Linked DNA regions of Alligator mississippiensis. The protein of the gene in region 2 interacts with the protein of the main gene of each other region in a biochemical or structural test. Links are inferred from orthologs where the notes say so. Each region holds a gene or a part of one and is shown on either strand. Other genes may lie near its edges. The genes, in order: LYN, KIT, YES1 and KITLG.

The links.
Region 1: the proteins of KIT (region 2) and LYN form a complex in vitro, tested with the Homo sapiens proteins (2 studies listed by BioGRID and IntAct, with this or other methods). The link is inferred for Alligator mississippiensis from reciprocal best matches to the Homo sapiens genes KIT and LYN.
Region 3: the proteins of KIT (region 2) and YES1 form a complex in vitro, tested with the Homo sapiens proteins (2 studies listed by BioGRID and IntAct, with this or other methods). The link is inferred for Alligator mississippiensis from reciprocal best matches to the Homo sapiens genes KIT and YES1.
Region 4: the proteins of KIT (region 2) and KITLG form a complex in vitro, tested with the Homo sapiens proteins (3 studies listed by BioGRID and IntAct, with this or other methods). The link is inferred for Alligator mississippiensis from reciprocal best matches to the Homo sapiens genes KIT and KITLG.

What each region holds. Positions count from the first base shown.
Region 1 is NC_081826.1:71,440,564-71,447,906, forward strand, and holds the start of LYN (tyrosine-protein kinase Lyn), read right to left. Parts: upstream 3,014-7,343; 5' UTR 2,908-3,013; coding exon 2,766-2,907; intron 1-2,765. UniProt on the Homo sapiens protein: Non-receptor tyrosine-protein kinase that transmits signals from cell surface receptors and plays an important role in the regulation of innate and adaptive immune responses, hematopoiesis, responses to growth factors and cytokines, integrin signaling, but also responses to DNA damage and genotoxic agents.
Region 2 is NC_081825.1:59,919,961-59,927,810, reverse strand, and holds the start of KIT (mast/stem cell growth factor receptor Kit), read right to left. Parts: upstream 3,017-7,850; 5' UTR 2,881-3,016; coding exon 2,805-2,880; intron 1-2,804. UniProt on the Homo sapiens protein: Tyrosine-protein kinase that acts as a cell-surface receptor for the cytokine KITLG/SCF and plays an essential role in the regulation of cell survival and proliferation, hematopoiesis, stem cell maintenance, gametogenesis, mast cell development, migration and function, and in melanogenesis.
Region 3 is NC_081826.1:89,119,768-89,127,692, forward strand, and holds the start of YES1 (tyrosine-protein kinase Yes), read right to left. Parts: upstream 3,003-7,925; 5' UTR 2,749-3,002; intron 1-2,748. UniProt on the Homo sapiens protein: Non-receptor protein tyrosine kinase that is involved in the regulation of cell growth and survival, apoptosis, cell-cell adhesion, cytoskeleton remodeling, and differentiation.
Region 4 is NC_081827.1:84,719,625-84,727,548, forward strand, and holds the start of KITLG (kit ligand), read right to left. Parts: upstream 3,018-7,924; 5' UTR 2,812-3,017; coding exon 2,797-2,811; intron 1-2,796. UniProt on the Homo sapiens protein: Ligand for the receptor-type protein-tyrosine kinase KIT. Plays an essential role in the regulation of cell survival and proliferation, hematopoiesis, stem cell maintenance, gametogenesis, mast cell development, migration and function, and in melanogenesis.

The DNA.
Region 1 (7,343 bases), on a different chromosome or scaffold from region 2:
CAGTTAGGAAAAACATATTTTTCCTTCGAAACCAAGTAGGCTTATTATGGCAGCCAGTAAGAAAACACACACATGCAATATCTCAATACCATTTTCATTTTTCTTCTTCTTTTTCTTTTAAACAACTCAGAAGCATACTTAAGTTCGAGCTGAAAAACAGCAGTTGTAACTTGTGTGGTGATGCCAGGATCAGATTCACTAGATAGTTTGTATTCAAATTCTAGATTATCTAAAGGGCTACATGTTTTTCTTTTACAAACTGGGAAATGACTAGCTAGGTTACAGTTCTGAAGAGAAGAACCTCAGAATTACAGTGGACCATAAACTGAATATGAATTAATGAGGTGATTTTTTTTTTGCAACAAACCAACAGCAGCAGGGGTGGATGGGGGGAAGGGGGGCAGTGCAGTTGCCCTCCTCTTTGATTCCTGCTCCACCCAAAGCTTAAAACAAATTGCCTGGAACTGGAAGGACTTCACAGCTCATTATAATCTATTTGATGCCTTCTAAACTCTTCACTTCACAGGTGTTAATGACCCTCTCTCCTTTTTTTTTAATGGTCTCAGTGTATCACTAATCAAGCAATTCTTTCTTCTGTAATTCTGCTGCCTGCTATTGGCTCCATGTAATGTAGTTCCTATTTCATAGCCCCAAAGATGATTTTTAACCCTAGCTAGAAACATTAACTCATGTGTGGAAATAACTTTCAGTGCTTGGATGCACTGTCAAGATGCTTAAGGCAGCTTGATTTTGTTGTGTGACTCTGAAAGAGATGTCCATTTAATTGTAATGACCACAGGAACAAGATCTTTTAATTATTCTTGCCTGTTTGTTTTTCAATACATAACATATGCTATAACAAATTAACACATGCCAATAGTTATAGAAGCAAAACCAAATATCTTAAACTGAATAAGAAAGCCATAGGCTCCTTGCATATTAGCAAAGCTTCTAGTTTTTTTTACCTAGAAAAATGCGTTGTTATATGCTATCCTTATTACACCATTTTCACCCTCACTTTTCAAGTCCTAGATCTGCCCATGAACAGGCGTGTCACTTGCAAATCAAGGGAAGTGATTCTTCCTCTCTCTTCAGCACTAGTGATGCCTCACCCTGAGTACTGTGTTCAGTTCTGGGCCCCACACTTCAAGAAAGATGTAAGTAGTTTGTAAAGAGTTCAGTGCGAGGCAACAAAAATTATTCTGGATCTGGGAGGAAAGACTTTTGAGGACAGGATGAAAGAGCTACAGTTATTTAGTACGGAGAAGAGAAGACTGAGAAGGAATTTGATAACAGTCTTCAAATGCCTGATGATTATTTTTCATGAGGATGGGCATTCTCTGCAGCTGAAGGTGACAGGATTAGCAACAATGGCCTCAAGATGCAGAAGGGGCAATTTAGGCTGGAGCAACTTTCTGATTCGGAGGGTGGTCAGGCACTGGAACAGGCTATGAATGACTCCCAAAGAAGACCTGTTTCAGGTTATTCAGGGCCGAAGCCCCAGATGGCTGTCCAATCTGAGCCAGAAGTCTAGTGGTGACTGCCATGAATCCATTACCAGCCATCTGCTGAGTGACTGCATGGTTGTCCCTAAAGAAGCTGTGGAATGCTTGGAAACTTTCAAAAGCAGTTTAGAAAACACTTGGCTGGGATGGTTTCCTTGGGAACAATCCTGCCTTCAGGACTGACCTGGTGAGGTGCCTACTTCTTAGCGTCTAACCCTGATCATGAGGAAACTGACTCAGTAGTCCTACGTGCTTCCTGGCACTCCATCCAACTCGTTTTCAATTAGTAGTAGCGGTGGTGTTGTTGAACACAAGTATGCCAGAAGGAGCCATGTAGGAAACACAAAGCTGGTTTTAGAAAGCCTCTCACCTAAAAATACTTTCATTTGCTTAAAAATTGGACTCTATGGGGTGGAAGAGTATAGACAGTGGCAACACCCTTTCCTCGGAAAAAAGGAGAAAAGCTAGCCACCGGGAAAACAGCTCTGGTGTCCTCCAAGTCGGTTTCTCAACCTGCGTGTCGCAACACCCAACGTGGGTCAGAAGACTATATGAAAGGGTCCCGAACAAACTTTACAAATGGATTCTCCTTTAAAGGAGAAAACCATGGGAAACCTTGCAGGCTGGCAGAGCTGTGGGCTGCTCCGGAGCCCCCTACCGCACAGGCTGGGAGGCCAGGGCCAGGGGGCTGTTTTCTACTTAAGCTTCGGACCGGCTCGGAACTGGCCATCCATGTTTCCAAATGGGTCCTGGTACAAAGAAGGTCGAGAACCACTGCTCTAAATAACAGACCAGAAGTTTCTTGGTTTTTTTTTTTTAATTTTATCTGATGTTCAAAGCCCAGTTCCCCGAAGAGGCAGAGGCGCAGGCTGCCCAGTCAGCCTCGCACTTCCTCTTTCGAGCCGGCTCTGCCTGCACCAGATGGCTCCCGCACGACTTCTCCTTTCCCTCGCCCGGCCGAGGGCTGCCGCGGAGGGTGCCGCTCAGGTGCGGGGCCCTAACAAAGCAGCCGCAGCCCCTCGCCGGCCCGAGCCCGAGCCCGAGCCCGAGCCCGAGCCCGGCGCGGCTCCCTCCCGCCCAAGCTGTTTTGCTCGCGGACGCGCCGCCAAGGCGGGTCCCACCGCGCGCGCACACAAACACACACACACGCGCGCGCGCACTCCCAAGCGAGTCCCACTGGAGACACCCGGTTGCTAAAGCAACAGGCAGGGCTCCCCGGAGCCTGCCCCGCTCACCCGCCCGCCCGGCCCCGACACTCACTGTCCCGGGCTCCACGGTGGCGCGAGTGCGGGAGCCGCCGGCGCGGGGAAGGCGTCTGTCCGCGCCCGCTCCCTGCGCAGCCACGGGCGCTCGGGGCAGTTGCGGAGTTGGCGGTCGCTTCCTGCTGCCGGGAGATTTGCATAAGCGCCGGGGGAGGAATCAAACTCCGCGGCCCCGGCCTGGCGCGGCGCCACAAACCAGGCGGGGCGGGGCCGGGCCGGCCCAGCCCCCTCCCCCGCGGGCGCCCCGGCGGGGATCCCGGCTCTCCCCGCGCCCAGCGCCGCTGGCCGAGGGTGCCTGGTCTCCTCCCGGGCGGGGCGGGGCGGGGCAGGGCAGGGCAGGGCAGGCGGAGCGGGGCGTCGCCGGCCCCAGCGCTGCGGCCCTTCCCGCCTGCCGGAGCCTAAGCGCCCCCCTTTTTTTCAGCCCAGCTCCGGCTGCCCCGAGAGCCTTTCAGGGGCTGCCAGGTTTAGGGGCCGCTCCTGGGCACCTGCTGAAGTGCAGGTGGGCGCACGCAGGCTTGGGCTCCCCCTGCGCATCTTACTTAATGCCAGCTCCTCTGGGAGGCTGGGTACAGACATTCAAACAGCCCGAGGGGGAGCTGATCTCAGCGAGGCAGGGCTTTGTAAGCAGCCTAGTTTAGACCTATAGCGAACAGGACGCACATTCGCCCTGGGGGGCTGGGCAAATCTTACCCCAGGTTGGGCCATTTTTTTAACCCGATTACAGATGCCGAACTTCTGCTCTGTTATGGGTATAGACTGGTTTCCAAGCTATTGGTCGCTTATGGTCTATTGGAAACCAGTCACTTATGCCAGTCAACCCTCTTGCCCACTGGTTGCCTGCCGAACTTCTGTTCTGTTACGGGTACAGCCCAGTTTCCAACCGCAGTAAAAGTACAATGTCTGTACCTGGCCTGAAAGTCTGTCTAAGTTGCCTTCTGACCCACTTCAAGGCTAACCAGGCTAGCTACCACTAGCAAGACAGGCCCAGAGGTTTCAAGGAAGAATCTGTCCAACACCTCCAGACCTGCTGGGGTCTTTCTGAATTCTCCACAGCAGAAAAATTGCCATTACTATTTTTCCATAGTCCAAAAAACCAAGTGAAAACTAAGAGCTGGTATTTTCTGAGGTGACCAGGAGGCCAATGGGAGATGCTTTGAGTCTAAAAAGGTTGAAAAATACTGTCCTAAAAAGTTGGTCTGATAAGAAGAGGGTAGGTAAAGGGAAAAAAAATAGCTGGAGCCAGCTCTTCATTGAGCATAAAAAAATTCAGGGCTGGTAGGGACCTTAAGGGTCCTCAAGTCCAACCCCCTGCTGGATGCAGGCCTATTTGCTGTGCATTGCAAGCATTGATTGTTACACACTAGGTAAAACCAAAATCCCCCCTTAATTTGGTGGGGCACTGAGGAGCCACAATTCAACAAACTAAAGACATGTCTACTTTCTGAGCAGACAAGAGGTTAAAAGTAGTAAAGAGACTTTGCAAGTGAGAATTTTAGGGGCACAGCACTAAAACTGGGGAATACAGCAGACCCAAATCTTGGGACTAGCCAAGTGGTGTTAGGGGCTGATACAAAGCTGGCACAAAGGTGAATATTTTTTTAAGGCTGTCACCCCAGTGACGGGCAAATATGTGTTCCGTTCGCTACCAATTTAAACTTTGTTGTTTACAGAAAACTGAGTAATTTAGATTAATTCCACCTTGGGCTTTTTGAATGTCTGTACCTAGCCTAAAATACCTGAGCAAAAGAGCATGCTTTACAGCATTGGTAGATCAGTCCCAAGTGACCACGTAATATAGATTGCACCAAGTACTCCTGCCTCTCTCTCTCTCTCTCCACATGCCATGATTTCTGCAATGAAGAAACTCAGGACTGGTACCAATGTTCATTCCTGATATCTGTTTTGCTACAAGGAGTTTATTCTCTAGCATTACAGGAATGAAAGTCTTCAGTGATCCAAAGGAAGCAATGACATTCCTGGAAGTCTTAGAAAGTCAAGTTGGATCCATACAATTACTGGCATGTGCCCAGCAGATTTCCAAGCTAGACAGGAGAAGCAGAGCTGAACTATTGAAAACTCAATATTTTGTCTTTATTGATTATTTTATTCTAGTATGATACAAGATCTTAAAAGAAAATAATATATGGATAGTGATAAAGATAGTTGTTTCATTAAAACATTTTAAATTATACAATTCCTTATTTTACTTTGGTAATGGTAGAACTGAATAATTGCTTTATTCAAAACATAAAGTGCATTTAAAATAATGCAGTTAGCATACTCAGAGTCTGTAATAAAATAATCTCTGCAAGTGTTGCACAAAGGGATTTCCTTCAAATTCTGTCAACAGAAATTGAAAGACTTCCTTTTTTCTTCTCTTTTTTCTCCCCCCCCCCCCCACAAGCACTAGAGGACTAGAGGTGAAGACTGCTTCTCCAGTAGAAATTGACAAAAATCAAAACAAGTACAATTTCATTTATAATATTAATGAAAATTTTCATATTTTGATAGAAACTCAGCTACCAAAAAATTGTTTGTTAGAAATTGAAATTCTGTCACAATCTCAGAATGGAACTGTAGGATAGGGCCTCATAAATTCCCATTTCCTCTACAGGCTGGACTCCCTAGCCAAAATAGACTATGGACTATGACAAGGGAAATCAGTGCATGGTACACATTCTTCTTTCCCTTATTTTTTCCTTACTCTATTTGCAAAAAGTTTTCGCATCAGAAAATTCATGTAAATAAAACAGACCTGGATTTTAAAAGCTCTCTTCATCTCTGCCAGTAATAGAGGCTAGGAGAACTTAGAAACTATTTTCTTGAAATGTAATTTATTGAATAAACTGGTAAAAGAAAAAAAACCTGCTGAATAATCTTAAAAAGTTGCAGCCAGGTACAAGATACTGGAGATATATCAGAAACTTTTTTCTTATCCATTCAGGAAGATCTGACTAAAATGAAGAGGGTTTGGATTCAGATACATATTTTGTATTTTGTAAAAAGAACAAACAAAGATTGTTATCCATATCAGGAAAAAAAATCCCATTTAAAGTGACATAGTTCCTATCTGATAAAGAGGATAGATATGTAACTTTTTTGAGAACTCTACGTACACAAGAATCTGTTTACATAAACAAGTAAATGCTTATATAAATGAAAGACCAAAGACCTCAGTAATTATTTTTCTTAGATTTAACTCCACATCTCAGAGGCACAGACCTGAAGCTAGTCAGAAGATCTAAATTAAAAAAAGAAAAAAACTATAGGGAGAAAACATGAAAGAGGAACCTTAAATAATCAACAACATGCTGAAAAAAAAAAAAAAGGTTGTGTATCATAATAAACTATTCATACTCCAAAATTGTTCTTATGCTTTTAGGGCCATCCAAAGTCAAATGGAAATAAAATGTACAGTGCAGATATTAATATCTTCATTGTTTATATCATGTCATATAGTTGCCCACACAGGGACATGTGGAGGAGAAAAGCAAGAAAAGCATTGAATGCTAAGTGAAACCCTATTACAGAACCTGAAAATAGTTTAGACAAGGCCATAATTGAAGAGCTAGTTATTGAATTAAAAAAGGAAGGAAAAAACCCTACAATTTGATCAAAGAATGGCTAAGACTAAAGATTCTTCACAAGATCAAAAGCAATGCAGAGCATAAAGAAATATAAAGACAATGCTTAAAACATGCTATGAAATTAAAGGCTGGATGGGAAATAAAATTAAATTCAACATATTTCAACCTTTTATAAAATGGCCCACAAATCCAATAAAAGGCATTATTGCCTTAAATAAAAGGCATATTGCCTTGGTGACATGCCACCTGATGGGTTAAATCGTGGCCTGTGAGGCTTGGTGTCTCTAGAACCCAGGGAGTTCTGCTGCCTCTCTTCCTCTGCCCGCAGCACTCTTGCCCACTGGCAAATTCAGGGTCTCTGCTGCTGAAGTCTCAGCTCGGTGGGACATCTGTATTCTCACAGACAAGCAGGCTAACAGAAGGCTACATTCTGAGGGATAGCCAGAACAAGTTTGTTGTGGGTAGGTGTTGCTTGACCAGTCTCATTTCCTTCTATGGCCAGGTGACGTATCACCTGGACAAAAGAGAAGAGGTTGATGTCATATATTTGGACTTTAAAAAAGCCTTCGACCTGGTTTCCCATGATGTCCTTATGGAAAAATTGAGCAACTGCGGCCTCGACTACTCCACAGTCTGATAGCTGGGGAACTGGCTCCGAGGTTGGACCCAGAGAGTAGTAGTTGATGGAACTGAATCAACATGGCAGTCAGTGACCAGTGGCATCCCCCAAGGCTCCGTTCTCAGACCTGTAACTCTTTACTGTCTTTATAAACAGTCTGGACACTGGTGTCAAAAGTGGACTGGCCAAGTTCACTGGCGACACCAAACTTTGAGGAAGAGTGTCCACACTGGAGGATAGGCTGGTGATCCAGGTCAGCCTTGATAGGCTTCCAAGGTGGGCAGATGAAAAGCTGATGGCATTCAATATGGTGAAATGCAAGGTGCTCCACCTCGAGAATAAAAAACCATGTCACACTTAATGACTCCTG
Region 2 (7,850 bases):
GAGGCTTCTGAGCATGCACCAGAGGTGTAGGGAGGGAGGGAGAAAATGAGAGGAGATTCAAGAACACCTCACAAACCTCACAAAAAAGAGCAAGCTACAAAATGGAGGAAAAGAAAAAGGTGACAGCATAGTGAGATGCAAGGGACAAGGTGTAAATGGCTTAGTTTGACAAGAGAAACTGTATTATAGTTCATGATACCAATTCATTCTTTAACTGCAATAGAGACAGGCATTAAGGAAACAAATGCCTGACCTACTTACATTAGATCTAATGTAAATGTGTATATGACTATATGGAAATAATTATACTTTTGCCCAAAGATACATGTCTTTACTACAGAGAGACTTACACACTAGACTGTTCATTTCTCATTGGTATGAGCAAATCCATCTAAGGTTGCCATTCAAGGTGAGTGCAAGTAAACCTTGTACTTTCTATGTTAGAGCCTGGATCTGGTGACCTTTAGGGCATGTCACAAGACAGACCTGTTTTCTCAGGCTTTTCCTGAGGAAGGGGAGGGCTAATTGGAAGACGGGAGACAACCAGCAGACTGCATAAGGGGCTGGGACAAGAAATGGCATCTGGAGGTAAGAGATCTTGAGGGAAGTCAAGCATAGCTGCCTTTTATATACCTTGTAAGAAATTTGAGGGAGTAAAATCTTGTAAGAGAGTTGTTTGTTCATTTTTGTAGCTCCTTTGACCTGTTGCTTAATTTGTTCAGGGAACACAGTGCAACTCTGAGCAGGTTTTATATATGCACATGTGTTTTATCCATCTTTTAACTGAAAGTATATATCACAATATATATCACAGACTATCATGAAATAAAACAGGAGTCCATGTTTATGCATCCATTCTTACCCCATCTCTCATCCCACAATAAAATGCTTGCAAACATACAAAACCAACTACTGCAGCTACCAGAGTTATTTTATTAGGTTTATTTACTGCCAATATATGAAACCTGTGGCTAAAAATTCTACTACACTCCCCCTGTTCCTGAAATAGTTATTTGAAAACCTCTGCTCCAAGGAGTTGAGAGTAAGAGCCACCACCTTTCATTTAACATCACCGTTCATTGCTTTCCTTCATCTTTAGATGCATCTAAAATAGTAATGCAAGTATTTTTAAGGAATCACGTTACCATTTTTGGTGCAAACAGTGGGCCAAATTTATTCCCAGGTGGGAGTAATTCCTCAAATATTAATGCCCGGCTCTCATAATACTGCAGTGCACCTTGAGACCTACAAGTGAAAAGAGCTAAAAAAGTTTTGACTAGGTGATCCTCTAGGGGACTGTAGATGACCCTTTCACCCTCATCTTCAAATGATTATTTTTCTTTTATAGGTGGAGAAACTGAGAATGAAAGCAACCTTCTGCAAAAATCATGCAGCAGGCTATTGCTGGTACAGAATAAAAGTCTGTATCATTACAATTATACCAGAGACAAAACTGGTTCACTAACGCCTCCTGTTCTCTTCCTTCACTAAGGAATTTGAGGAGGGAAAGGTGAATGTCAGCCCAACAGATCAACATTATGGGTGCAAAGGTGTTATTAGTGGCTTGGACTGATTTTGTCATCGTCTGACCTCCTATGCAATCAACAGGTAGACTGCAGTGATATCATGCTTAAGCTGTTAAGAGACTGATTCTGCAACCTTTCTTCATACCGATTCTCCTTCACGAGCCGTCTCAGTGACATCTGCAGGACTGCTCAGAGGAATGCAGAACTCAAAGCCAATACATACATATATGTACAAATAAAAGTCCAACTAAATTAAACAGCCCGTCAGGCCAGCGGGAGTAAAGCGCAACCGTTTCTACAGCCAACAGGTCCACAGAAGATAGTGATGTGACTTAGCATCACATGACTCAGACGACTCACCCTGAACAACTAGGGACCGTTTACAGCTGGATCAACTTGTGGGCAGCCTTTGAGGGGCCTTTGAAGCCAAGCTCCTACACACGCATCTGGCCCCAGAGCACGATGCCTTTGTTACTCCCCAAGTGCAACTGTTTCAAGCCCATCACCATTCCCGACCCAGCCACCCAAAGAAAAGATGGCAACGCAGCGGTGACGGTGAGCGGACCCCGTCTGGCAACCCTCCCTATGCAAGCACAGCGGCTGTCCCTTGGGACCATTCTTGGTTGCACCCTCAACGGGGCTAAAAAACCCATAAGAATAAGGACAACTCCTTTAAAAACCAGCAGCGTGGGGCACTTTCACCAGAAAAGACCAGCTGCCAAGCAGTGTCTCTCTATCACCAAGCCTGCAAGCTCCTGGTGTGGGGACACGCTGCGGGGAGCCAGGACAAGTGACAGCCAAGATCTGGCTAGGGATGGTCCTGCCTCAGGCAGGGGAGTGCACTAGATGGCCTCTGCCAGCCCTCCTAGCCCTTGTGGCCCCGGGAAGGAGCACAGCCACCCCGAGGGGGATGTTTCCGCCCTGCCGGGGTGGGGGGGCCCGCGGGGACACTTGATCTCCTTGTTCCCGGCGCTATCATTCACTGGACACCGGCGCTTTGTGCCCACGAGCCGCGCGGGGAGCGACACAACAACCCCCGCCCCCAGCCAAGGCTGGTCCCGAGGAGCCCCCGACCGGCTGGCTCATGCCCCCCGGGCCGGCCGCGCTCCAGCCTGCAGTGGCGCCAAGGGCCGGGCCGAGGACCCCGGGGCTCCCTCCCCGGGCTGGGAGCGGGGAAAGTTGCGGCGCACCCGCTCCTGCCTCCCTGCACGCCCCACGCGGAGGCTCCCCGAGAGCGCAGCCAAGCTGGCGAGCCGGGACCCGGCGTGAGGGTCGCACCTGTTGGAAAGCGCAGCAGGAGCACCACCAGCAGCAGCAGCCGTGCGAGCCCCCGGGCAGGGAGCGCGCCCTCCATAACGCCCGTCCCGCGCTCAGCCTCGCCGCGGGTCCCCAGCGCCCGCACGGACAGGCGCCTCCACGGGCAGTTGTCGGAGTACAACAAACACCACCTGCTCCTGCTCCTGCTCCTGCTCCTCCTCCTCCAGCTCCAGCCCCGCCTCCGCACCTCCTCCCGCGACCCCGCCCTGCTGCCGGATTGTCTCGGGGCTGCCGGGCTGGCTTTGCGCTCCCCCCCACCTCACGTTTAAATTGAGTTTAGCAACTCTTTGCCCACACCGCCGATGGCGGCAGTGGAGGATCTGGCGTGGAAAATTCTTCACAAATCATTGGCAGACAAGATTTTTTGGGTAAATCCAGTATCTTTTACTGGAGTGCAACACCCTTGGTCAGACAAGAGGGCATGTGCGCTCTACTTGGATGGAGCAGTCATTGGCGTTTCTTTTGAGGAAGAGCAGTGGTTCTCAATCTGTGGTCCAGGGACCCCTGGGAGGGGGTATCCCCTGACTATGTCTAAGGGATTCCCAACAGATTACTGTGATCAGTCATAAGTATGAGAATACCCACACAAGTCAGAGGCGTCCGCAATTTCCAAAGGGGTTCACATAAAAAAAGGTTGTAAACCACTGAGCTAGAGGAAAGGCCGCATTCCCCACCACCAAGGTGCAGTTAGCACAGGGGTGAGCAAAATACGGCCCGGGGGCTGGATGCGGCCAGCCAAGCCACTCTATCCGGTCCGCGGGGCCCCTAAAAAATGTAGAAAATTAATATTAATCTGCCCTGGGCTGCCTGTCATGCGGCCCTCGATGGCTTTCCGAAACTCAGTAAGTGGCCCTCTGCCCAAAATCATTGCTCTCCCGAATTAGCAACTACTGATCTGGTGAGGTGATCCCACAACTGCAAGAGGCAGCATGTTGGTCCTAGGATGTGTTGTTCAAATCCTCAAATACTAGGGAGTGGGATCAGATTCCCGGGCAGAGAAGGCTTAAAACCTGCACAGCAGCTGGGTGAAACCCTTCTCCAGGCAACCCTTGCAATGGGAGGTCAGAGTAGGATTGGGCTGAGGGAAGGAGGGAAGAAAAAAGAAAACAATAGCTGCAGTTTACTTCATTTGCAAGAAATAAAACCTGATGTGAGGATTCTGGGATGCGGTAATAGGAGTATGTCCAGGTAAGACATCATAAAGTCAGACTCCCAACTTCTGAGGCCTCAGCTGAGGTACAGTGTCCAGCTCACAACACTGCCCTTCCAGATGTAGACATATTGGGAGGAGCTCAGGATGATTAGAGGCTTAGCAAATGTGACTTTCATGGAAAGGCTGAAGAAAATGGGTTTATTTAGATCAAAACAGAGAAGATTGAGGGGGGACTGAATACAGTCGTAGTCAAAATATGTAAAAGGCTGTTAAAAAAGGGATAGTTTTCAATTCTCAGGAAATATGGTCATTTTAGCTTAATTTCGACAAGAGAGATTTAGCATAGATGGAAAAACTTTTAGCTAGGAAGATAGATAAGAAGTGAAACAGGCTAACTACAGAGTCCCTGTAAGTAAAATAGGTGAAAGCCCCTCTAGATGTTCAGGCAAAGGCATGGTAGTATCTGCTGAGCAATCCATATAATTGCACCTCCTGCCATGCCACACATGTATGGCAGGAGGCATGCTTGTGGGATCTAGCAGCAGAACCTCTCATGCCTTACTGCTGGTACAGGGGGATCCTGTGATCACCATTCCGGTCTGCACCAGCAAGCAACACTCTCCCATAAGTGTGAGTCCCATGGCTTCTGGGGCTGAGGGTCCCGCAGCTACCACAAGGTCTGCAGGGACTCAAAGTCTGAAGCTATGGAGCACTGCTGGGCAGCAGAGTCTCATCAGCTGTGGGACTCTCCATGCTGGCATCTGTGGAACTGCTGGGGCTGTGAGTCCCCTCAGCTGCAGGACTCCCAGCTCTGGCTGTGTATGGTCCACCCCTCTGGCTGGGAGCCACATCAGCTAATATGGCTCCTAGCCACAGGGGCAGACCCTGCTACTGAAATTGCAAACTGAAGCTGGATACAAACCGGCTATAAAGTTATTACACATTTTCCAGCAACAACTTTATAGCTGATTGGACTTTTTTAGGGTGAGCTAGTTAATTTGTACAGGTAGCCAGTCTAAATTGTACAATTAACTGGGTAATTGTGTGATACATACATATAGAGGGAGCCTAGTTAGACAAATATTAGTCAGGGTTGATCTAGATATACTTGTTCCTGCTTGGGGAGGAGTGCTGAACTCAGATCTCATCCAGGCATACCTTTCTATGATTTCCATGATTCCATAGCTTGCAATCAAATACTTTTGACTAAGATGAAAGGGGAAAAAAGAAGGGAGATAACTCTTTTGAGAAAGAATTACAATGTATAATTATGTAAACATCTTGCATATATAATTATATATTCATAAATATTGGAATTTTGGCTTATATATTAATTAGCATCCATAGAAATATACATAAATCTATACTTAGCAGCAAGAATGAAATTGCATATCATTCAGAGATAATATAGTATATGTCCTACCTTTCATATCGGGGTGGGCAACATTTTGGAGTGGGGGGCTTAGCTCTGACAGCAGGTAGCTTCCCACCCAGCCTGCACTGCCACTGCTGCAGCTGCAGTCACTACTCCTGTCCCTGCAGTACCATCACCATAGCTTCTCTTTGCTGCCCAGCTGCTGCACAGGCAAAGCCCCCAGCCACCAAATCCCTGCACAGAAGCTCCCCTTATGCCAAAACACAGCAAAAGCCCCTCATGTCTACAAACCAGATGCAGTGGTTCTGCGGGCCATAGGCTGCTGACCCCAGTTTTATACGCTGTTGGTTGTCAGTCATTTTCTTAAACTGCTGGGGTGAAAGCACATTACAGCATGTGACTCTAGACGTATGAGTTCCTATATGCATTCAAAGAATAAATTCCTACCAGATAGCTGAAAGAATGCAGTGCTAGATAGGAAGACACAATTAAAGAGTGTTAAAGAAAACTGTCAAGGAAAAGAAAGCTTGTTTGTTGTTTGCATAAGGATTTAGAGCAAGAGAGAGGACAAAACTTTCAATAGTGAGATGCAACCAGAATAAATGTAGACTTTTTCAAGTGTGTCAGTAAAGATCAGAAAAGCTACTGAAAGCAATATATTATTTTTTAATTTTTGTTCACCATTGTCAGATTTCTCCAAGGTTAATAGCATTGTCCCATATGGTCCAACATTAGATGAAAGTCTTGTGTGGAATGTTTAAAATGGCTCTCACCATTTCTCTGCTCTCTTTCATCTTAGACAGCTAGTCTCTTTTGATGGGTGGTTCCCTCCTTTGCCTGAAAAGTAGCATGCAGTTTTATTTTTTAATAGTACATACACAGTTTTTTTCTCAAATAGCATTCCTTAAAATAACATTTATTACTAGGGGTCAGCCTCACAAAATTAATATTGGAAAGTGACAAAAGAAATCTTAAGAGATGTTTCTTTGTTTTAAATATTTTTGGGAGTGTCTTTGTTTCTTCAGAAATTCTTATAGTGCTTTTGGGTACTTCTTGCTTAATTTGTTCAAGATGCAATTGGTATAAAATGCATCATATAAAGATCTCAGAAAAAAGTTCTCAAGGGTTCATTCTGACAGGTTTCTCCCCATTCCTCTTCTATTGTCAGTCTTATGTCAGTTATGGGCACTGACTTTATTTTGGGTCCTGAACAGCAACAAGTAGACAGGGTCCAATTCAGCATGGCCTTATGCTTTGGACAGTCATTTACACAAACATAAAGCCACCACCAAATCAGAATGGTAACACTCCATGTTTCTGCTGCATTGCTGTAAATGGCCAGAGCAAGAGCAGGTCAAGGAATTGGACCCATAGTTACCAAGTATAATGGAATAATAATGATGAATGAATGTGCCTACTTCTTCTACCTCTGTTCTCATTATTGGATTTCATACACGTTTCATAGTTTCATAGTAGTTAGGGGTCAGAAGAGACATGAATAGATCATCTAGTCTAACCCCCCCGCCACTGGCTGGAGCACATGCTGGGATCACACAACCCCGGACAGGTGTTCATCCAAATTCCTCTTGAATTTACCCAAGGTAGGAGCAAGGACCACTTCCCTAGGAAGTTGGTTCCAGATCCTGGCTACCCTGACAGTGAAATAGTGCCTCCTAATCTCTAACCTGAACCTATTCTCCAGCAGCTTCTGGCCATTGTTCCTCGTCACCCCAGGTGGTGCTGGGAGGAATAGGACCCTTCTTATTTGCTGCTGATCTCCCCTAATGAGTTTGTAGGCAGCCACCAAATCCCCCCTCAGCCTCTGCTTGCTGAGGCTGAACAGGTTCAGGTCCCTCAGACCCTCCTCATAGGGCCTGCCCTGTTGCCCTCCAGCCAAGCAGGTGGTCCTCCTCTGAACCCTCTCAAGGCAGGCCACATCCTTCTTAAAGTGAGGTGCCCAGAACTGGACGCAGTACTCCAGTTGAGGCCGGACCAATGTCACAGTTCTTCAAGTGATGCTAGGTTTATGGATTTAGGGAACTCCTGGAATGTTTTCATCCAGATCAATTAGACTACTCATTGTAGTAAACACCTTACTAAATCTAGAAAAATCACTGACCACGGTCATAGCATCAAATGATTGGTGAACATAGAAAAGGTCTTGTGTTATTTTGGTACCTAATCTCTAATTAAATCCATTTGGATGTTAGTTTAGCTCAGGGATGTCAAAGATCCATCCTGTGGAGCCCCTTCCATCTGGCCCACTGGGCTACTGAAATTTGGAGGCAGGGCCAGAAGGAGGGCCTGCCACAGAAGTCAGGACACTGGGCCCCAATGGTGCTGTCAATTGGCAGCAGGGCACAGAGCCAGAGCTGTGCAGATATAGCCTTTGCTAACCCTGTGCCTGCTGGACCCCTACCACCACCCCCAGAACTCCGCCACTGCTCACAGACCCTCACTGGCAGACCCACTGCTGTTG
Region 3 (7,925 bases), on a different chromosome or scaffold from region 2:
GAAAATTTATTGCTAAGGTCTTGCTTTTGTCCAAAGACAAATAGAAATGTATAGAGCAGTAAAGTCATGCTACCACTTAAATGCCAGTTTATATAACCAGAGCTTGTTTTATAGTTTGTCACAAAATAGACATTTGTACACTAGTCACGTGACAACACACATTTACCACAGTGGAACACAGTGAATAGTTTTGATTTACTCTCTTGGAGATGCTGGAAGTATATTGCATATCAAAATAAAGAAGGTTCTATTCTAGAGCATAAAACGTTGTATTGTTTGTTCTGTTACATGAATATGGGTAACAATACACTCAAAGCCCTCCTGGTGTGTTAAAGGAATAGACTCTCTTGTAGTTTTACATTATTTTGGTACATGACATGGCAGGTAAAAACTGGCATCTGACTAACTACTTTAACTTAGTACCTTCTAACATACTACACCCCTGCAAAAGCAGTATTTTTTCTGAGCTATATATAGGGTGACCATATGTCCTGGTTTAGCCTCTGAAATCTGGAACTGTCCTGGCCATCTCAGCGTCCTAGCCATTGGAGAAAGTTGAAGCAAAAATCCCAGATTTGTGCAGACTGTCCTGCTTGCCTCCTGACTCAGAAGCCTGGCACATGTGGGCAGCTTTGTGCCAACATGGAACTTTTGCTTCAGTTTTCTCCAAGGAGCCCAGACAATGGGCTGCTCCCTGGTCTGGACTCCTCTGGGCTGCAAACAGTGTTGCTTTAACAGTAGACTTGGGGTGGGGAGGAGAGGGGAAGGAGCCACGCCACAGGGGGTGGGTGGGTGTGGGTGTGTGTGTACACACCATGCTGTCCTGCATGGTCCCGCTCCTGGGAGCTGTGGGGTTGCAGGGGGCATTTCCCCCCGCTCTGGATTTCTCTGAAATTATTATAGTTACACTAGCTATATACAATACATAAAATAATCTGACCGTTCAAATATATATTTTTACACACACATTTTTCCCCTAGAAGCCAAAATCCCATTTTGGTAGAAAATACTATGCAAAAATAATTGAATAAATTCTACTTTATAATAAGAAATACAAATTAAAGGTATTTAAGGACTAACTGTGTTCCCGCTGAAGGGACTGTGAAAGCAGGATTTGGGCCTAAATTGATGGAAAGTAATGAAAACCAACAACCAAAGACGCATAACAATCAGTTTCTGCCTTTTATCCCAGGCTTTTATTTTTCCCCTTCTGTAAACGTGTTTACTGTAGTCTTTTGCTTTGGGGAGAAAAATAATCCCTTCTGATCCGTGTATTATACTTCATTCATGTTGCAAATACTGTCTCGTTAGTACTAAGTACTAAGGCCCTGACTCCGCAAAACTTAACATCCCTGCTTAGTTTTGTGAATGTGGACTCATTGGACCCTACTTTTAAATGAAGTTACACATATGCTTAAGCTTTTGCAAGACTGAGGTCCAAGTTATATTGTTAACTAAAGGAGTTGTTTTTGAAATTTACAAAACGTGAAGAATTTATGAAAAAGCACTATGTTAACGTTACAGAACTTGGGGGAGTAGTACCCTAAAAAGGACACCTTGCCTAATATTTAATTAGCATGGTATATTTGAATAAATCACTCTCTAGAACAATATTCTACTCTACCCAAACAAAGCAAAATGGTCCATATCCCTGGTCACAAAACATGTGGAGTTGGAATTACCGAAATAAATACAACGGTATGCACTTGTTGCCTAAGGTGTACAGCCTATAGCCCCCAGCCTGCTGGTATTCACTCCCGTGCAGAACTCGATGGACCATGCATCAATAGATGACTACTCACAAGGTGCAAAGTCAAGTACATGTCTCCACAAGACTGAGGGCCTACGCTTTCTCCATCTGATTTTTTTCAAAAACAAGCAGGCTCCACAAAGGGCAACTACTGCAAACGTAAACCTGTAAGTCACTGCGCCCCCGATAGACGAGCTTTCGAAGGCAAGAGATCTCGTAATGTGGACGTTCAACTATCTCAGCCAGGTGGCTGGTCTGAGAAAAGGCATGGTCCTAGAGATGCCTTGCCTCTCGGATACAAGTCGCCACAAGGAGAACAGAGGGGAGCACAGATGCATTACCGGAGGAAAGCAGGGACACCAGGCTACAGAGGACTGGAAAAATGCATTTCCCTGATGTCTGCCTTTTCCAGCACTGCTGGGACAGAACAGGACGCTTTTACAGAGAGCTGCCTTCGCCTCCCGGGTCAACCGAGGCCTGAACCCGTCACATGAGGGCTGGAAGGGACATTAATCCCACCCCCCCACTCCCCTCCTCCAAGCAGGACCAGACCCCACTGCATCATCCCCACCAAGGCTTTGTCTTAAAAACCTCCAAGGATGGAGATGACACAGCCTCTCTGGGCAGCATGTGCCAATGCCTCCCAGTCCTGAAACCCACACGCAGCACAAGCGACCAAGGAAGACAGACAAAGCCGGGGGAGGGGGGAGAGGCAAAGAGCAAAGCTCGCCCCAGGCGCGGGTGGGAGGGACACGCAGCTGGGCCCCCACCCACCCAGCGCGCACAAAGCGAGGAGGCGCGGCGCCTTCCCTCAGCCCAGGCGGGCGGCGCGGCTCCCCACCCCCCACGCGAGACGGGGCCGCCCCGGGGGCCGCCGCGCCCCGCACCCCCCAAAAAAAGTTCCCCGCAAACTTTCCTCAGAGCCAGGCGCCCCCGCAGGAGGGCGCGGTGTGCGGGGCCTAGCGCCGCCGCGGCCTCCCCGGGGAGCGGGGCCTCACCTGCAGCTGCTCTGGCCGCTGGGTCGAGGAGGAAAGGCCGCGACCGGCTGGGCTGGGCTGGGCTGTGCACGCGGGGAGCCGGCCGCTCCGCTCCGCCAGCGAGACAGGGAGCGAGGGGCCTCCCCGCCTCCTCCCGCTGCCGCCGGGCTCCCCGCACCGTGCGGCGGCGGGGAGGGGTGGGGCCGGGCCGGGCCGGGCACGGCGCTCACACCCTGTTCCCGGCAGGCGGCGGCGCCCCTTCAGTGCGGCCCGAGCGCAACACGCCGGCCCAACATGGCGGCGGCCGACGCGCGGGGGAGGCTCTCGTTCGCCCGGCCCGGCCCGCAGGGGGCGCTGCTCCTGCCCGAGGGCCCTGAAGGGCGGGGTCGGGCGGCGGGCGCTTGCCTGCCTCCCGCTCCCTGGGGCCGGGGAATGGCCCCGGGATTTGGCTTAGGGTTGGTTTGGGATAGTCCGGGATTGGCCCGGGAATCATCCAGGATTGGCCCCAGGACACTCCGGGGTTGAGGATTGGCCCCAGGTAGTCCAGGATAGAGGATTGGGCCTGGGATTGACTCTAGGGCTGGCCCTGGGTAGTCCAGGATTAGCCCTGGCACAGTCGGGGAATGGTTTTGGAGTCCAGGATTATCCCTAGGGAGTCCAGGATTAAGGACTGACCCTGGATTGGAGTGGCTCGGGAATTGGGGCGACCGCCCCAGGCTCCACACTTTGGGGGGGGGCCCCGTGACCCATGCTGTACAGGCCTTGCGGGCAGTGCCATTGGCACGTGCTGAGGCCACCACCACTCTGCGTGGCCACCATGTGCCACTAGCTCTGCGCTTCGGCCTCTCGCCATGTCTGGCCCCTGCACAGGCGGATATGCCCCAGGCCCCGCACACCTTTAGGGTCGGTTCTGTCCGGGCCTGTCCCCAGGTAGTCCAGGGCCGGCCCTGGCACAGTCTGGGATTGGCCCCAGGGTAGTCCAGGATTGAGGACTGGCTCTGGGGCAATCCAGGATTGGCTCAGCAAGAAGACTTTCAGAAAACAGATTTGAAATCCTTCCCCCCCACCCCAGGCTCTGTCAAGAGAGTGGCTTGCGCAATAGCTGTAAATTGAGTCCCTTCCGAGGGAGTCTCCAAATGAGTAAACCTGGGCAGATGTGCAAGCTTGCTTGCTTGCAAGTTACCTTTTAAAATTTGTTCAAGTGAGGCAAATGAGACCACTGGGGGATAGAGGGGGAAGCACTGGAGTTCTCCTTCTGCTGTGTTTTGGACACTGCTTGCAGCCCCGGATCCTGAACTAGGGACAGTTCAGATGGATATCACAACAGTAGAAGAGCTCAAGATCATGTAACATCCAGTTCTACACCACCCAGTTTCCAGTGACCTCAGGCTCATGAATCAGCATTTCACATTTACAGTGATAACTTTGCAAGGAAGGAAGTCTGCCACAAAGGAGAGTTGAGAGAGAGAGTTCACCTGCAAATGCAGCTAACCTTATGATCACAAAACACAAGAATGAGAAAAAAGGAAAGCTTATAAACCAAAGGTTTCATAGATTCATAGATTCATAGATGTTAGGGTCGGAAGGGACCTCAATAGATCATCAAGTCCAACCCCCTACATAAGCAGGAAAGAGTGCTGGGTCTAGATGACCCCAGCTAGATACTCGTCTAACCTCCTCTTGAAGACCCCCAGGGTAGGGGAGAGCACCACCTCCCTTGGGAGCCCGTTCCAGACCTTGGCCACTCGAACTGTGAAGAAGTTCTTCCTAATGTCCAGTCTAAATCTGCTCTCTGCTAGCTTGTGGCCATTGTTTCTTGTAACCCCCGGGGGCGCCTTGGTGAATAAATCCTCACCAATTCCCTTCTGTGCCCCCGTGATGAACTTATAGGCAGCCACAAGGTCGCCTCTCAACCTTCTCTTGCGGAGGCTGAAAAGGTCCAATTTCTCTAGTCTCTCCTCGTAGGGCTTGGTCTGCAGGCCCTTGACCATACGAGTTGCCCTTCGCTGTACCCTCTCCAGGTTATCCGCATCCTTCTTGAAGTGTGGCGCCCAGAATTGCACGCAGTACTCCAACTGCGGTCTGACCAACGCCCTATAGAGGGGAAGTATCACCTCCCTGGACCTATTTGTCATGCATCTGCTGATGCACGATAAAGTGCCATTGGCTTTTCTGATGGCTTCGTCACACTGCCGGCTCATGTTCAACTTGGAGTCCACTAGGACTCCAAGATCCCTTTCCACCTCTGTGCCACTAGGACTCCAAGATCCCTTTCCACCTCTGTGAGGTTTCCAGCTTCACATGTACAAATCAGTCTCTCTCAGGAGTACTTATTTTCAAACCTAATTTATACGTGTATTTGTACTTGCAGTATCAGGCCAGCATTTGTTTCCAAAGTTGAAGGTGCTGTAATAATAAGCATACTAATTCACTGCTAAGTATTTTTCATGTTTTAAATAGATGATCTTGTGATTTACATTGTATTGTACACCAATACAAATTGTATGCCAGTTGTGGTATACAATTGCAACCTGTGATTTCAAACCAATGTGAGTGCATAGTTTGTTTATATCACACCCTTCCCATTTGTATCAAGAAGCAGTTTATAAAATAATAGTATGAAAAGCAATTTGACATGTTGGAATGAAACATTTCCTCAACATATATTTCATCCATCTGATCTTTTTAAAATTAGTTGAATCTTTCATTTATGGTAACTCTCCCTCAAGTATTCACATCCTATATATAGAATTGATTTTTAATTAACGAGAATAAGATTGTTTTACAGACTCAATTGCCAATGACTGATTTAAGGAGTATTCACAGCCTGGTTAAAATTCTGGTCTCGTTAACACAAGTCAGTGGAGTTAATTTTGATTTACACTGGAGTTGAATAAGAACAGAATTTGGCCTGAGGGCTCAACTGTATGTTTATATAGATGGGCAACCATTGCTGCATAGTTAATTTTACAGAACAGACACTAGGGCAAACTTACATATCTTAAAAAAGACCAAATCTTAGATCTTCTTAATACAGATATCCTTAGCATACACTTCAGAATAATTTTGTCTTGGTGAATATTAGGATTAAGCTAAAGGAGTGCATTGGCTTTTGTGAACTCTTGTAGTTTGAACATAAGATGTCAGGGGTGAGGTAACTCGATTATGGTATGAAAGCAGTTCTATTAATTCACCCAATCATGGTGAAAGTTCCTCATTATTGGAAACTTGGTCAAAAGACTCAGATGCTCAGTGCATCCTCCCATGCATTTTGATGACCATCACCCCTTAAAATGAGAATAAGCATTTTGGAGGAATTCTCATAGTGTAAATTTAATAAGGTTTTGAAAACCTGGCCTCTGTTTTTAGATGCACAGCTGGATATATGGCTATATAAACATATACAGATACATGTACATACACACATACCTGGTAGATGCAAAAATACAGTATTTGTTTCTGCATAGTTATCATATGCAAATATCACATATACAAAATACGTAAAAATAGACTTTTTAAAATTAGCCCAATTTTTTCTGGGTTTTATATTTAAATATGTAATTACATATTTATACAATGATTTTTAAAAAAATTTAGGTTACTTAATTGAAGGACTAAATCGTCTAGACACTTTTCCAATACAAATGATAATGAAGGCATAAAGTATGTCTCTGAGGAAGAGAAAGAGCAGAAAAAAACAGAGAGGAAATGTAGAAAAAGATGAAAGGTCACTGATGAGTGACTAAGGAAAAAACATCCATTCTGAGATTTTGAAAAATAAGAGTGGGTTAAATTTCTGAAGCAGTTTGGCAGAAAATTCAATTCATGAAGAAATTAAAACACATTACACTTTATGCACATAGGGAACATTTAAGGATCGTTTTTGAAAACAAGCATTGAAAACAAGGAATAAAGATGTTGTTTTAATGGTACCAGAATGATGTGGGCACAAACATCTTCAAATATTCTTTTTAGCTTACCAAATACAGCTCCAAAGTGCTATCTAAAAATCAGGCCTTGAGTTTTTAGTTACAAATTAAAGCTTTGTATTTTTAAATGTTTTGATAATGATATATATAAACCTGATATAGAAGATCCGTTGGATCTTGTGACTACTTAAAAGTGCCAGTGTGCACTTTAGAAAAAATAATTAAAATGTTATCAGGATATTTTCCTGGGAAATTCTGTTCCATGGTATTTTGTGTTTAACGATGTGCTGTTTATTAGAGATTAACAGGTTTTTCATGGTATTTGCAAAATAATTAAGTACTTTTTCTTTGAAATAGTTAAAAGCAGAATAAAAATTGAAAGGAATCCACAGCATTTTCCTGAATGTAGATGTACAGCCTTGGAATCATAGATATTGTTTTGTATTGTTTGGATTCTAAATGTATGAATATTATGGTTATATTTATAAAGTGTGAAAAATACTTAAATATAGGAACAAATATGCCACAACATTTCTGTTGGCAACTGAATCCAAAAGACATTATGCCCAGTTTTCCTCTGATATAATGACACTGAAGAGATGAATAACTCTAGAATAAGAGCAGCAACTACAGTAGGAGGCCTTATCCATACAAACATTTACTGTAAGCATGCATATAGTATTATTACTTGTGCTGTTATATCCCATCACAGCCTTGTTAATGATCAGGGTCCATTGTGTAATCACACAACAAAAAGATGATTCTTTGTTCAAAGAACTGGTCATCCCATTGACTTTTGCTTAAAATTACTATATTTACGCTAATCAAAGATGACATTGAATATAAGACAACCCCCCAATAAATAGCTTCTGTACACGGAAAATTTATCAATTTGTTATAATTTTTAATGTATATAATCTGATTTTGCAGGGTTGTCTCATATTTGTGCCCCCACCACTGCTGCTGGGCAAGCAGCTGCAGCAACATGGGAGCAGGCGGTAAGGGAGTAAAGTGGCTGGCTCCTGCTGTCTGTCCCTCTCAGCATTTGATCTCCTTGCAGCCTGTATTCCCCCTGTCTCCAGTGCCTGTGCACCCTGGGCCCAGCCCCTTTCCCACAGTGCCTGCCTCCCCCCTACCACTTGACCCTCCTTTCCCTCTGTGCCTGGCCCCCTGTAGTGCCTGCCCCTGCTCTTGCCTGCCCCACACAACATCTGCTTACCCTGCTGCCTTCAACCCCATGGCCTGCCCTCCCCCGCCTCCGCTTCTACT
Region 4 (7,924 bases), on a different chromosome or scaffold from region 2:
ATTCTTTCATTTTAAGTATAGTTTTTTAAGGCCGTTTGATCTTGATCAGTTTAATTTATTCCGCTAAGGGAGCACCTTTCAAACTTTTTGGAATTTCATCTGCTTCTTAAAGATCTAGTGGGCAGCTTCCTTCCTAGATTGCCAATTCCATTCCTTTTCTTTGCAACACACATAATCCAGTTACATGGAAAGGAATAATAAAGCAATATCAAAATACTAATTTCTACTTTTTGGTTACACCCCCTCTCTTTTAATTGTGTTAGTTGCTTTCTTCTTCTGCATGTAACACTTCATGTTTCTTATGAAAAGTACTTTGTTTAGTTTCTCATACTCCAGTTTCTTCAGAATGATTCATTGTTTGTTTTTGGCTTCTTGTGTGCTTGCTATCCCTTCATCTTAGATCACAAGTGTTAGAAGGAATATGCAGCAACTTTGAAGGAGGCTTAATGATTCTTGTATGGTTTTTTTTAAAGATTAGATAGCTGAGAAAAAAGCTCTAGAAACCCAAACCTGTATAACTACCTCCAACAAGCAGGAAGCGAAACTGCTTGAAGGCTGACAGATGCTTTACTGCTGTGATAGAAACAGTTGGATAGACCATGTTTTTTAGAACCCCTGAGTTAAGCCATATGATGCAGAATGCCAGACTGCTTGGCTTTCGGGTATAATTGGTGGAACCACTATGCTTGCTTTGCCCTGCATTTATGAATTGGGGTGTGGGGGGGATCTTCATAAGTGATAACTGACATTTTTTGTAAGTTAAACATGTCCTTGGACAAGGATCACAAATCACCTTACTTGGTAACTTTTAACCATTCCTATTCCCCATACACGCATCCAAGAGTAAACTGGAATAGGTTACAATTAGTGTTTTGCTGTTAGCAATTCCATTGTAAATAAAGGTATACACTTTTAAAGTTTCTACTCTTATGTTGCAAAGAAACACTTCCAAATAATCATCTGTACTGAGTATGTAAGTGCTGGAACAATAGCTAAGGGGTGAAAGCCAACCCGATGATCTCAAGTGTTAGTTATAGCAATGTTAGCTGATCATTTTATTGTAGATATTCATTTTATATGAGTTTTCATTTTGATAAGATGTTGCTGTAATTACAGACCACTGAGTTCTACAGCTGCTACACAAGTGTTCTCTATGCAATACATTTCCCCAGGTTTTGTCCAATCCAGGTCTAAATGCCCGATGAGACAAGGGCTTCCTATTCCCTCCTTTTGAGAGACTACTTAGTCCACTTGGTAGACTATTTTGACTGCTTAGTAGAACAGTTAGGCACATTTCTGGTTATTTTTCCTTTTATTTTTTCCGTCTTTAATATTAGTTTATTGTACTAATCCTAGCTATACACCAAAACCTTAAGCTATATACCTTAAGTGAGCTACCAGGACCAAATTAGGAAGCATTCAGATAAGAAGAAACAGGTAGCAGCACATCCAGAACAAAAGCAGCCCCTAGCTGTACTGGGGCTGCTGTTACACTGTTAGTATTTCTTTCCCTTTTTCTACTAGTTTAGAGGTATTGAGCACTTTTGATGCTTACTGAAGGCAGTGGGACTTTTACAAGCACTTACTATCTTGCAGTCTCAGACATTACCCTTGACAGAGCTTTGGGGGCTTGTAAAATTATTTCCCTGCTCCTTTCTCACCAACTATGCTCCCCCTCCCCCTTTTGAAAATATACACAGTGCAGTGATTGTAATCTCATGCACAACCTAATAGCACAAAGTCCCACATCTGTACAGAGCAATCCTTTATTACTAGGGTGAGGAAGGGCAAGGGGAAGAATGCCAAACAGCTATGGAAAATGTATACGGAGTCCTGTATGGTACAAGCTGCTTGAATGAAACTAATCAGAATAGCACTGAGCTATATGTCTGTCTCTTTAGTTGGCGTTTTAGGTCCACTGTGTTTAGCACATACCTATCTAATGAGGGCATGGCTGGCAACATATGTAACTTATTTATTAAGGTTAGGTTCTTAGCGGAAATCGTCAGCGATCAGAGCCTCATCCCAACCCATTTACTGGAACTTTTCTCCCAACTGCATTGTGCAGAGGGCGAGAAGGGAATTCTTCAAGCCATCCCTCATCTCAGCCCGAGTAGCGACACGAGTAGGGAGCCTCGCAACAGCTCTGTCCCGTGCGAGGCTCCCAGGACCTGCCAAGCCCTGGTGCCGCTATCGCCTCGCCCCGGGGAAAGCACTAGCCGAGCTCCCAACCGCGGCTGCCGACTTGCCGAGCCCCGCGGGGCGGAGGCGCCGCTTCGGTCCCACCCAGCTCCTCGCGCTGGAAAGCCAAGGGCCTCCGCCAGGCCGCCCCGGTGATGCCCCAGCGCCTGAAACGCATCGCAGCTACGGGCCAGGCGGGCGGGGCTGCCCGAGCCCGGCACCCGGCGCGGCGCGGCGGGGTTGGGGGTGCAAGGGTCCAGGCAGGGAATAGAGTCGTCCCGGCGTGTGTGTGTACCTGTCAACCTGTGTGTGCGCGTGTGTGCACCTACACCTGTCAGCGCCTGTGTGTGTGCACCTATGTGTGTATGCACAGTGTGTGTGTGTACCTGTCAGCTGCGTGCGCCTGTCAAGCTGTGTGCGTGTGTGCACTTATGTGTGTGTGCCTGTCTGCGTGTACCTGTGTCGTGCTTGACTGTGTGCGGCTATGTGTGTGCCTGTGCCCGTCTGTGCGTGTGTCTATGTGCATGTGTATGCGGCCGTGCGTGCCCGGGGGAGCCGCCACCGGGCCGCGCCGCCCCAGCCCTGGGAGGGCACGTGCGCCCGGCCCCCACTCACTTGTGTCCTCTTCATAAGGAAAGGCAGCGCTGCAGTCCAGCCCAGCTCGTCGCGTGCTAACTCCAGTCAGCGGAACCGTGGCTCCGGCATGTTGCAGCAGCGGATAGTCCACGCATCGGCGGTGCCCGGAGCCGGCGCCCCGCACCCCGTGCCCACGCGCTCCACGCTCCCGCCGCGCCAGCACAGGCGGCGGCTGCAACCCGCGCCCTCCTTTTATACCCCGGCCGCCTTCGGCCGCCGCCGCGGCTGCAGCCCCGGCAAGACCCGCCCTTCCCCGCCCTCCCGCGGGACTGGGGGCGGGGGGAAGCGCGTGGCTGCGACGCCCCTTCGGGACGGGAACCCGCGGGGCCGGGGCTCCGCGGCCTGTCCTGCCCGCCCTAGTCCCGAGCGCCGCCGGGGCTGGGCTGGGCTGGGCTGGGCTGGACCGCGCTCGTGCCCGGCCCCAGGCGGCCCCTTCCCCCGGTGCCCAGGACCGAATTGGTAACAAGTTTTCAGAAAGTTTCGAGCATCCCAAAGCCTGAGGAGCGGGCTGAGGGCGGGCGGCGAGAGAGCCGGGCTGCCCCACAGCGAGGAGCCCCATGCCCGTCCCCACCTGGCAACGCCCTGCCTGCCGTCTCCCGGCTCTTCATGACATGTTTAAGAAGAAGCCAGGCAGCGAGCCAGTTAATAATAAGAAAAGCCAAGCGCCCTTTCCTCTGCCCACCTCTCGTGGCAGAAGTCATGAAGACAGCGATACTCAAGGTGCCCTGAGGTGCCTTGAACTTCTTTCAGGAGTGCCACACACAGGCAGCAGTGCTGGGCTGGGTGGCAACAGAAGCCCAGAGGTTTCCAGCAGGAATCTTGAAGGGTTAAAACCCACCCAACCTGTTGTGGTTTCTCCCCCCCCCCCCCCCCCCACACACACACACACCTCCCCTGAGGTCTTTGCAAGAAAAGAAGCACTCTGCTATTTTTTTTTCCGCTCCTGAAAACGTAGAGGTGACATTTTCCGAGGACTGCCTGGAGTCCAAAAAGGCTGTGCAGCACTGAATTAAGCAGGCCCATCTCTAGGGGAGCCTGCAGGTAGGTCCAGAATACACTTTCAAAGTCCTGAATGTGCATTTGCTACTGAGCATTCAGTTTAGTACCGCTGTGTGCGGACAGAAGTGCAGCTCCCAGCTAGGGCCGTCCCTAGTGTGGGGAGCAAAACAGGGCACGGGGCAACTGCTCTGGGCCCCACACTTTGGGGGCCCCACAGAGCTCAGTGGAGCGGCTGTGGCAACTCGGCACCACCACCAGCTTCGCATCTAGCCACTCACTACCCCCCCACCCCACCGCCAACAGGGTCCAGGGCACGTAGGTTTGGAGTGAGGGTGGGATGGGCTGATTTGCCCAGGGCCCTGCACCTTGCTCGGGTCAGCTATGCTCCCAGCTGTAACTCAGAACAATTTTTGCCAAGTGTTCAGAGTTACAGGGTTACCCCCAGACCAGACAGAAGTTCACTGCTGGCTCCAGGGTGGAGGGGAGCCTGTAGCCAGGTTCCCGTAGCAGTGGCCAGGGCTCTTTGCCAGTGCTTGTTGTTTTCAGAATGGGAGGGGAGGAAAGGCAGTAGGTGAAGCTCGTTCTTGGGGTGCCCCAGCTGGTGCTGAAGGGTGGGGTAAGTGAACTGGAGCCCCACAACTTGGGGGAGCTACAATAAACCTGCCCCAACTTCAGGGAGGGGCTGATAAACCCACAGGCTGAACTCCCTCTGCTCACTTTCCCCTTTCCCGTTCTGAAACAGAGACAGGCAGGGAGCTCCACAGAAACACCTTACAAAAGACACTATGTTTTGTAACATGTTTATCTGATACCTCATGCAATGAGGAGGTCAGATTTTCACCTTATCCGCCATTTTTTAAGCTGTTTGCAGCTGTGCACTTGTGTTCAGTCATGTCTATAAACTGCTTTTTATGGCCAGATTAGGCAAAAATTGTCACTCACTTCTGTCTGCACTGCCTAATATGGAGTACTACATAAAGGCACACTAGGCTGCCCAAATGTTCAGTAGCAAAAACCAATGCCTATTTAGAGATGCTACATGCCCAGTAGACTAATTCTACTGCATATTAGCACTGTTTTTGATGTGATGCTTTAATACACAGTAGAATAGGTTACTGCACATTAAAACGCACATGTACACACACCCAAAATGCATAGGATTTTAAAATGATGGGATCAGTTCTGGCATGCTAGCTGACTCTATTGATTATTGCCATATGTCTGTCGTGCTGGGCACTCCATCCCATAATTTCCGTCTGAAATGATGGGTCCCAGAGTTTGAGCATTAGAAGGGGGGTAGAATTTATGGGATAAACATTTCCTGAGATGTGTTTTAATGATGGCCATAGATCACTTTAGCATCAATTGAAGAGAAAGAAAACTAGCTGATAACTAGGGATCTTGGTTTTCTCTGATTTAAAAAGAATCCCCGATTTTCAGTTAAAAAAGTAACCCCGCCACTTTTTCCCATGATTTAAATGAAACACTGTTTTATGAAAAAATGTGGATTTGGTGTTACTTTTTTAAACCAAAAATTGGGGATTTTTTTTTTAATCAGAGAAAATCAGGATCCCTGCTGATAACCTACTGAAGTCAAGTTATTCTCCAAGGGAGATCAGAAGTGCCACTAGAAGAAGTAACAGATCAGTTCATTGCAGACGTTTCTCTAGTATTAACCTAGAATTCACTTCAAGACTTCAGAAAGCACAGTATTGTTTCAAGAGAAGGACATGTCTGTTATGGCATTGAATTGGAATATAAGCAATTTGGGATCTATTCCCAGATTTGCCTCTTTTTTTGTTGGGGGGGGGGGTTGTATTTTAGGTAAGTCATCTAATTAGAGACTGGGCCTCAGTTCCCAATCCATGAAATTGGAACTTTACTACCACTCTGCTTCAGAGTAGTGAATGCAGGACAAATTCATTACATGCTTTAGTTTGTCAGATGCTAGTGTGATGAGTACCATAGAGTTGTTATTTGCCTCATTCTTCTGCCTGCAGGGCTCCATTGTGCTAAGCACACGCATAGTAACAGTCTCTGCCTCAAAGAGTTTATAATCTAAACAGACAAGATAAAGTGTAGGAGAGAGGAAGCCTATAAATAAAATATCAATGCCTATGCTTGATGAAAGAAAGTGTCTCCTAGATCACTTAGAGGTGATCAGTCAGTGTTGCATCTACAGCTTACACATTTGACAAATACTGTGGGCCAGGAAATGAAAATGTTATGGCAGATTTCCTCTTGAAAACATATGGCAGGTTTAGCCTCCTAGAAGGAAGCAGTGGAAAATATGGAAGAACAATCTGTCAAAGTAGCAACTCACCTTATAGAAAATTACATTTGTCTGCATACTGAACTGCATCATCGCACTCCATCTTGGAATAGTATGGGGCAGTGGGGGAAAGAATTTAGGTTTTCTTTTACAGCAATAATTAATGCAGACTTATGCAGCATGTCCTGAATGGTTTCTGTGAGCCTATATGAGCAGCTCTCTTTCTCCAAAGGTTTTATTTTCTCGTTATACCTTCAACAAAGCTGGGAAGATGTGACAGTTTTAACGTTGGTTGATTGGGTTCCAGGAACCATGGCAGGACAAGGGAAATTTGGTCCCCTAAAGCAGGAGTGTTAAATTAATTTGGCCCGGGGGCAGGATGGGTCTGGGGTATATGCTGCATGTGGTGCTCATGCTAGATTGGCCCTGTCCACTGGATCCAGCATGCAGGGATAGTCCAAGGGCCTGATACAGACTGGCCCTGGATCCAGCATTCAGGGTCAGTCCAGTGTGGGTGCCAGATGCAGTCCATGCCCTGGACTAGACCTGCCTGCTGCATGCAGTGCTCATGTTAGCTCCAGTCCCCATGCTGGGTGCACCATACACCAAACTGGCTCTACACACTGCACATAGGCATCTACTTTGTTTTTTGCCGGTGGGTGCTTCTTTTTTTTTTGCATTCCTACACTGAGCACTGCACATGCCCAGAAGAGGCAGCATGTTACTTCAACCCAGCTGACCTGATGTGGCTCATGGGTGCTGAGCACCTGCTAATTTTTTTTGGAGCACCCATGGAGTCATTGCCTATGAGTGGGGTGGTGATCTAAGTAGTTGGAGGAGCAATCTGGGCAGCAGGGGGGAACAATAGTCTACTACCCCTTTTTCTCCCCTACTGCCAGTGCCCAATTCCCTTTGATATATACTGCAGCTAGAGGGCCAGTGAGCTGGGCAGACATGAAGCAAACTTGTAAGCTCCTACTCACGTCTATGCTCTCCAGCTCTGTAGTGGCAGGTCAGGGCTGCACATGCTAACCTTAACACTGGCCAAATGTCCAAAAGTTGGTGTGTGAGAATTGTACGGTGTAACTACGTCCTAACACTATAAATGAAAGTCATGGATGTAGCTACCACATCTGAAATAATAGCTGGCTTTTGGATGACGGGCTTCCAAACTGTTTAGGGGCCACTAATGGTACTCATGGGCGCCTAGTATTTCTGCAGAACACACAAGTGAATATCTCATCCACAAAGAATAATATAGCAGGATCTGACTGACTGCAGGGGCAGGTTCATAAACATCAATGTGAAACTGGTGAAGAACAAAGGTGCCAAGTACATGGGGGGGCCAAGGATCCTGGCTCCCCTTGGGAAGAGGGCTATCACCTGGAATGAATACAACTTTCCATGTGTCCATCTTCTTAGGCCCCACTATCCCCCACCTCCCAGCAAAAATAAGTCAGAGCCTATGGCCCCAGAGCTGTGGTGGCAGTGGGGGTTATTCTCCTTCCCTACTTGCTCTCAGGTTCCCTTCAACCCATGCAAGACTTATGCAAAGTTTCTGTTATGTATTAACTTAGGCAAAGTTTTCTGTCGTTTCTGGATTAAAAATTGTAATGGCTGTACTCAATAAATACTTTCTTCAGAGAACAAACTATTCATGTCCAAGCCATGACTTTAGTGCTACCACCTAAATTCTAATATTAAGTTTAGGTAAGAATTCAGCTAGACTGAATGGTGACAGCGATAGTGCTCTGGGCAAATACTACTAGTAAAAGTTAAATAGATTCATAGTATTAGTATACGTAATTCTTAGAATAGTGATCAGACTAATTCAAT